Rattus norvegicus: one gene and its partner. The protein of the gene in region 1 purifies or fractionates together with the protein of each later gene. This does not show direct contact. Links are inferred from orthologs where the notes say so. Each region holds a gene or a part of one and is shown on either strand. Other genes may lie near its edges.

Region 1 (4,414 bases):
GGCACTGTGTACACCAAGCCAGCTTCTTGCAGGACGGCCAGAGAGTGCCCTCCTCCCATAAACACTCACCGATGGGAAGCATCGGCTGGTTCTCACAGTATACTCGAGGACAGTAGCCAAAGTCTCCTTGCTGGTACTTTTCCAACTGACATGTATAAAACAGAAGGGAGTGGTCGGTGAGTGCGTAGGCAATCTCAACGCACTCCCGGTTCCCCCACGCCTCCCGAGTCTGACTAGAAGCCCCTTCTGTGGAGACAGGCCCTCCAACCCCTCAGGTGCTTTTCCTTCGTGGGGCCGGCTGCAGAGCACAGGGCTGTTTGCCATGTGTCCCCTGCAAACTCCTTTTTCTGGTTTCATCTCCCTTCCTGAAAACACCACCTTCAATGGGACCCTCAGTGGCCCTGCCCTGGGCATCTCCCTCTCTCCTCTTCCCCAGCCTCTGACTCATGCACCCTTCCCCTCCTGTAGAAGTAGCAGGAGCAGAGCCTCACCATTTGTGCAATGCCCCGGTTGGTGAGGATGTAGCGGGCGTGGATCAACCCATAGAGCATCTCGGCCGCCTGCTCAATCAAGTCACTCTGGTTGGGGTTGTCTTCCAGCTCTTCATCTGAAATGTGGGGCGGCCACTTGTTTAGCTTCCCTAGGTATCCCTACCTTACCTGCAGTACCTGTTCCTAAGCTCGCCCTACCCACCATCCATGCATCTGACCCAGAAACCTGGGCTCCTGACTCCTCTACAAGGTCAAGACCCTCAGCGCAGCCTCTCTGTATGCCTTAGTCTCTGCCTAAGTCCCTCTCTCCTTCCACAGTAAGTAAATGTAAACACACAACCACAGAGGTGGCCCTCGAGGGCAGCAGAGGGAAAGAGGCAGCACACCAGGCCCAAGAGGAAATCACCATTACAAAACAGCCGAGCTGCTTTCAGAGAGCATCAAGACCAGGCAAGGAATCAAAACAGTGGAGAAGTTAAGCACTGCTGTGTGCCTCTCTCCAGCATGGAAAGCTAGGGCAGGACAGCACGTGGTAAAGTCCAGTTTGGGTTATGAATGGAGGGGCTAGAGGTGGGGGAGGAAACACAGGAGCAAGCGAGAATCAAAAGGAAATTTAGAAATTCAAGAAGCAAGCCAGTCTGTGATTCCAGCACTCAGGAGGCAGAGGCAGACAGATCTCTGTGAGTTCGAGGACAGCCTGGTCTACAGACTGAGTTCTAGGACCGACAAGGCTACCCAGGAAAATCCTGTCTCCACTACCCCTCTCCCCGCAAAAAACAAAACAAAACAAAAACAAACAAACAAACAAACAAACAAACAAAAAAACCCCAACATCAACAAATTCAAGAAGCAAGCAAGCAGAGAGCAGAAGAGAACGGAAACAAAGCACCCACAAGTGCACTCTATCACCAACCCCACAGTCAGCAACAACCCAGGACACACGTTAGTTACCAGGTTCCAGGTCCAAGATCATGTCTAGGGCTTGTCGATAGTGAGGCACCTGCTCATTGAGTCCAGTAAGATTAAATTTGTCCTGGATGTAGTCTTCATCCACCTACAGGGGAGTCAAGGGGTTCAAACCAGTATAGAAAGGCCCGTCATCTTCCCACCTGGGCCCAGGAGATAGTCTTTCCTCAGCCAAGCCACCTCTCATGTTTCCTAGTCCCAGTTCTGCAGAAGTACTCAAGTTTCATAAAAACTGCAGCTCTTTTCTTTAAGGCAAACCAGATCCAGCACACAAAGACATTATTCAGCTTCTGTCCCTCATTTTACAAATTGCATGTGCCCTCTTCTTGGGGACAGCAGACTCCTGAGCTGAAGACCTCGGAATCATGAAGGTCAAGTAGTTTAGTTTCTGAAAGGTATTTATAATTTTCTACCTTAGCACACCGTGCTTTGCACGTTACACAACTTTGACATGAGAGGTTTTAACTGCCCTAATGGTCACCAGAGACACCTCTGTTAGCCATGCATATTGACAAACCCTCACAATACTAGCACTCAGGAGGCGGCCGGTAGGATTGCCAGGAGTTCAAGGCCAGTCTAGTCTGCATAGTGAGCTCGATCGAAATCTGCTCTCAAACGACGTAAAATCAAACATCGAGGGCATGTGGAGTTGGCCGACCTAAACTCACCTCACAGAAGAATTCATTACCACGGAGCCCACAGAACCAGGAAATCCAGGACACCTCCTCAGAGCTACTCATCTTTATGTCCGCTGAGAAAGAAGAGCCTAAGTAAGTGGAGACCAAGCTGTTTCTGGTCTCTTCCCTCCTCCCACACGTTCTCCACAACGACGGATGAATCCGAGTCCAGCCGGGCTTAAAGGATCCCGGCCTCTGAAGCATCTCCAAGCTCCTCTCCTTTAGCTCGGCCCCCCCTTACAGTGTGCTGAGAACGAGTTCCGCTACTTTCCAGAAAATGACAGGTCCTGATCTGTTAGTGTTACCCCCGTCCCTGGCGCTCCTCACGGCCAGGCCCCTCTCCCCTCCATGTCAGCCGCGACAGGGCCCTCGGCTCGGGCTCCCCACCACCGCAGGTGCCTGCATATTCCTGGCGCCTGTCCCAAAGCTCCCGAAGTTCATTTTACCCAACAGAATCGGCCTCTCCTGCCCTCGCAGGGTTGGCGAGGGCACCACACTTCCGTGGGACTCACGAGCGTCCCCACAAGCCGCCTCCTCTCCCCAGGCCCCCCGACCTCCTTCGGCTACCGACCCGGTCACTTCCTTCGTCGCCCCCACATCGAGGAGCACCGACCCGAGTGCCGCGCCCAGGGACCGGCGACTGGGCGCGGAGACAACCCCACACTCACCGGCCGGACGGGGACTGGGACTGGGGCGGGGAAGGGGAGCTGTGCTTCCAAGGAACGGCAGAGACCGCTACAGCGCAAAAAGCCGACCCGGCCGCGGCAGACGAAGTGGGGAGGGGGGGACTGGAAACTGGTGAGGGTTTAGGGGTTGGGGGGGAGAAGAGAGCAACGCGCAGGCGCTAAGGACCGCCCCCCTACCTCCGTGGACGCCGGGAGATGTAGTCCCGTCAGGAGAGAGAAACTGACGAAATGAAGGGAAGGCAAACTACCAATCCCAGGAGGACCCGCGCATGACTCTAGGGCCGCGAGGCCCTAGAGGAAGCCGCCCGGGGGCGGGGCGAACGGAGCGCCACCGGAAGCGGAAGCCTAGCACGGAGTCTTCTCGACCAGGAAGCCTGGGAAATATAGTCTTAGGAGGCTGGCTAGACTACGGGGCTAGCGCCCGGGGTGATTGTCATCCCTACGGTGCTCTCTCGGCGTTGCGCTTTAGTTTTTCTCCCTCCTCCCCGTGCCAGGCCAACCCACTGGACCCTGGCTCTCCTGCCAGGCCCGCGACAGAGCGCGCTCGGGCTCCGGCATGCGCAGAGGTGTGGTGAGGGACTTAGGTCGGGTGTGCTTAGGACGCGCTGAGCTGTGCATACGGCGTGAGAATCTAGACCGCCCTGCGCGCTAACCTGAGGTGGGGCCAGCCATTCTGCCGCTCGTCCCTTTGTACTTCTCCATTTCCTCAGAGCTTGATGGAGCGTCCTGCTGCGGACCCTAACTGTTCTTCAAACCCTGCTCAGAGTAGTGGTGAGGGGTGCCGTGATGTTACTTCATCTCACAGCTCCTCGGCATTCCACAGGTCTCCCCCTCTGTGTCCTCAGAGTCTTTCTGAACGCAGAGGGTGGCCTCCCAGCTCCAGGAAAGGAGCTTGGTGCTGGAGGGACCAGGGCGAGGGTGGCGAAGAGCATTGTGGGGGCGTTATGTAAAAGCAGGACCCCAACCGACAGGTTCCCCCTTGGGTCCTCGCGCTCCTGGGCACGCGATGCTTTACACGGATGCTTGGAAAGGTTCCAGCGCGGGAAACTGAACCTTGTGGGTGTTTTGTTGTTGTTGCTGGTGCGCATGCGTCATGGCTCCCTGTAGCTCTGATTGTATCAACTCTTAGAGATTATGAGAGCGCCATTTTGCGGTACGGAAATGACAGTGCAGCGTCTTTCCCCGAAAGCTTCCGGAATAATGTCACGCCTGTTTTTTATCTGGGAAAAGGAGACCCCCCCTAGATAAGATCGAGCAAGATTTAAAAGGCTGAACTGATATTTTCAAACGGTATGTGTTAGAGGACAGGAAAAATGATTTCAGAGAGAGCCTGGCATTTTTGTAGGAAGATGGGAGTTGAACGCAGGACCCCTAGACCCCTATTCTTGTGGAATATTTTTCCTGTTATCCTTTTTCTTTTCTGTGTTAGAGATAGAACCTAGAATTCTCAAATTCGGGGCGAGCATTCTACCCAGAGACATAGGTACCTACCATGCCCTCCTGAAATTATATTAACATTGTGGCAGGATCAGTTATTCCTGGGTTACATTTTATCCATGAGCCCTGGGCTCTACAGAATCCTAGGTATGAAGTC
Region 2 (3,647 bases), on another chromosome or scaffold:
AGAGGGCTTCAGATTCCCTGGGAATAGAGTTACAGGCATGTGGGTGCTGGGAGTTAAACCTGGGTCCTCTAAAAGAGCAGCCAGTGCTCTAAACCAGTGGGCCGTCACTCCAGTCTCTTAATGTTTCTTCATGGCTTATAGTTTTCCCTGTGGAGGTCTGGGGATTTATAATGTTAGGATTTATTTCCAAATCATTCATATTCTCTGATAAATGTTTAATTGTATTAATATATATTAAAGAAGTGTTATTTTCTGTTTTCTAGTTGCCTGTTGCTGAGATGTAGAAACAACTGGTTTTGTAATGACTCTATGCAATCATTTGTTAAGCTCCTGAAGATCTCAATCACAAAAATGACGACGTTGAACCCTCCTTACTGATCTTTATGTCTCTAGTGATTTGTCCTTGTCATACTGTGTCATCCTCAAAAGTGACGTTAGTTTTAAGACATCGAAGACTCTGGAGATACCTCAGAGGTTCAACATATATTTGTCTCTGGTACCAATTCAAAGCGGTTAACTATTTTAATAGATAGTTTGTAATCTTAAAGAACCCACAATTCATGTGACTTTAGTATTGCTGCCCTTACTCTCCCTGAGAAGTATTTTGTGATTCTTCTACAGTTTTATTTCCTCATGCTGAATCTGACATCTTTCATGATCCTTAACTGATATTCATTCCAGAAATTCTAGGTCTCTGAGAACTGAAAACGAACTCAGAAATCAAGAAAGATTATCTTATGAAATTGTTTTCCTCACTACTGGAATCCTATATGCCCCTATGACAGATGGCTGAACTTAAATTATATTTACCAGGGTAAAAAACTAAAACTGGAAACTATTGATTCATTACATCTGGATATACAGAGTTTGAGGCTTTATATATAATTGAAACTTATCCGGGTATGTTTTTTCTCATGAGACTAGTATTTTGTGTGTGTGTGTGTGTGTGTGTGTGTGTGTGTGTGTGTGTGAGAGAGAGAGAGAGAGAGAGAGAGAGAGAGAGAGAGAGGCACATACTCTATTTTCCACTAGGAAATAGTCAGTGAAAACAGATCACCAAAATATAATTGTAGTAGTAAGAGAGAAGAAAAAGAGCTAATCATAAAAATTGACTCAGTGGTAAGAAAGTACCTGCTGCCGCTCATTACATAACCGGAACATTCGAATGATGCGATCTCTTCACTTGTTAAGCCGATTTCACCTCTTCTCGGGATACGCTTGCCAGCTTTTACATATTCAGCCATAGCTGCACCTTCACCAGGTAACAGGGCGTGGCCATAGCTACAGAGGAATCCAGAATTCAAAAAAGGTTCATCAAACTAGCTCCATAGGAAAATGACAGCACACAATCTTTTCCCTCAAACAGTAGTAAGAATAACAGTGTTGTGCTTTATGTGAATTTCTTAATTTTTACTAGGGGACACTGTACTACAGCCTATATCACTGACCGAGAAATGTATAAATAATTTAGAAGAACAAAAGAACCGATGTTCACAAGTATAAATTCATACTTTATAACAGTGGATTAATTCACCAGGTATAGCTAGCCAGTACTGTTTCTACCCTTGGCTCATTCACTTAAAAAAAAAACCTCAGATAAATAATACATCTCAAAATAACTTGTAACAAACAATAACATCATAAGAATTATCTTTTGGCTTTGATTAAAAGAAACTTTAAGAGCAGTTCGGTGATGTTTTCTTGTATTCCAATTAAGCTTAAAGCTTATACCACAAAAGTAATCTCTATACTTATGAAGTTTACATATTTACTACACTGTAGGTTAAACATAATTAGTATTTTGTATGGGCCGCCAAGAAGGCTCACAGGGTAAAGGCATTTATGTACCGTCAAGTCTGCAGAGCTGAGTGTACTCCTTGGTACCCATATGGGAGAAGGAGATGAACCAACTCCTAAACATTAGCTGTCCTCTGACCTTCATGCCTTCCCCTCGCCCATACAGAAGAAATACACAAACTAATAAACCCTTTAAAAATCACGTTATATAAAGACACAGGAAATGCTGTGAGGACTAAAGATGGCGAGAAATCACAAGGCCTTGCAGAGAAGCATATACTGTTGCTTCTGCAAAGGAGCCTTGAAGGAGAGCTAAAGATCTTCTTTTGATTTTGTAGAAACAGGGTCTCTCATAGCCCAGGTTGCCTTAAGATCACAAAGTAGCCTACAACGATTCCTGAATTCCCTGCCTCCTCCTTCCAAATCCTGGGATCACAGGCATAAGAACCACACTGAGCTAAAGAAAGTGCTTTAGAGAGATGGAGAGATGACTCAGTGGTTAGGAGCACTGACTGCTCTTCCAGAGGTCCTGAGTTCAATTCCCAGCAACCACATGGTGGCTCACAACCATCTGTAATGAGATCTGATGCCCTCTTCTGGTGAGTCTGAAGACAGCTACAGTGTACTTATATATAATAAATAATTTTTTTAAAAAGTGCTTTGGATCTTGCAAATCCACTGCTACTAGCTGAGGGCACAGTTCAGCAGCAGAGTGCTAACCTACACGAGCACACTCAGCAGAAAACAAAACTAATAACCCACAACAAAGAAAACCACAAAACTCCATAACCGTACACCTCTACTCACTTCAAGGGCTTATCATCTTGGGAGGCAAGTGTTTTGGGAGCCTCTGGGCCAATCAGATCTGATGGTTCTTCTGTCTCTGCATGAAATAGATTAAGAAACACATTCACATCTTGACTAATCAGTTAATGTTTCAACTGTTTTGAGTTAGTCAATACAAGAGCCTACTTGATCGATCCTTCCACGGATTCTCTAGAAATTCTTCTTGGGACTCTTTAGAGCTTGAATCACTGGACTCCTTTCTGTTTTTCTTAGACTTCTTTTTCTTGTATTTCTTCCTGCAAGGGTTATAATGTATTACAAATTAAGTATTCTCATGTTAAAAAGCATCCATTCTCATGTTAAAAAGAATTACAGTTGTGAGCTGCCGGGTAGTTGCGGGGGAATTAAACCCAGGTTCTCTGGAAAAATAACCAGTGTTCTCAACCACTGAGCCATCTCTCCAGCCCCAGGTATCCTCAGTTTTCATGGGAATGAAAAGGTTAATAAAATTATCAGAATTCCTAGCTTATTCAAACTTTTTGATTTAATCTTCTCAGTTAACCAAATAGTATTTTGCTATTAACAAGAAATGATTAGGAACTGGAGAGATGGTTCATTGGTTAGGAACACTGACTGCTCTTACAGAGATCCTGAGTTCAATTTCCAGCAACCACATGGTGGCTCACAAACATCTGTATTGAGATCTGATGCCCTCTTCTGGTGTGTCTGAAGTCAGCTACAGTGTACTCAAAAATAAAATACAAATAAATCTTTAAGAAAAAAGAAATGACTAAAGAATCAATGAAATACATTTATTATAGAGAAAGTAAATGGAAATGAATTAGCTTAAAACCTAACTCTCAGGTAGGAGGTGGTAGCTTATACCTGAAATCTCAGCACTTAGGAGCTAGAATTAAGAGTCCAAGCCATCTTATGTTGTCCAGTGAGCTTGAGGCCAGCCTGTGGTATACAAGACTCTATCTCAAAAACAAACATTGTGGCTAGAGAGATGATTCAACAACCATGAGTGCTTGATGCTCTTCCAGAGGACTAGAGTTCATATC

Evidence for each region. The genes of interacting proteins can lie anywhere in the genome.
Region 2: the proteins of Csnk2b (region 1) and Nkap purify together in Homo sapiens (co-immunoprecipitation; 3 studies listed by BioGRID and IntAct, counting the BioPlex papers as one, with this or other methods). This does not show direct contact. The link is inferred for Rattus norvegicus from reciprocal best matches to the Homo sapiens genes CSNK2B and NKAP.

What each region holds. Positions count from the first base shown.
Region 1 is NC_086038.1:3,704,230-3,708,643, reverse strand, and holds the start of Csnk2b (casein kinase II subunit beta), read right to left. Parts: upstream 2,922-4,414; 5' UTR 2,803-2,921; intron 2,209-2,802; coding exon of another isoform or gene 2,198-2,208; coding exon 2,126-2,197; intron 1,546-2,125; coding exon 1,443-1,545; intron 608-1,442; coding exon 492-607; intron 146-491; coding exon 70-145; intron 1-69. Other genes in the region: Gpank1 (G patch domain and ankyrin repeat-containing protein 1), read left to right, coding at 3,840-3,876. UniProt on the Homo sapiens protein: Regulatory subunit of casein kinase II/CK2.
Region 2 is NC_086039.1:121,252,116-121,255,762, reverse strand, and holds part of Nkap (NF-kappa-B-activating protein), read right to left. Parts: intron 2,880-3,647; coding exon 2,770-2,879; intron 2,681-2,769; coding exon 2,605-2,680; intron 1,282-2,604; coding exon 1,132-1,281; intron 1-1,131. UniProt on the Homo sapiens protein: Acts as a transcriptional repressor. Plays a role as a transcriptional corepressor of the Notch-mediated signaling required for T-cell development. Also involved in the TNF and IL-1 induced NF-kappa-B activation.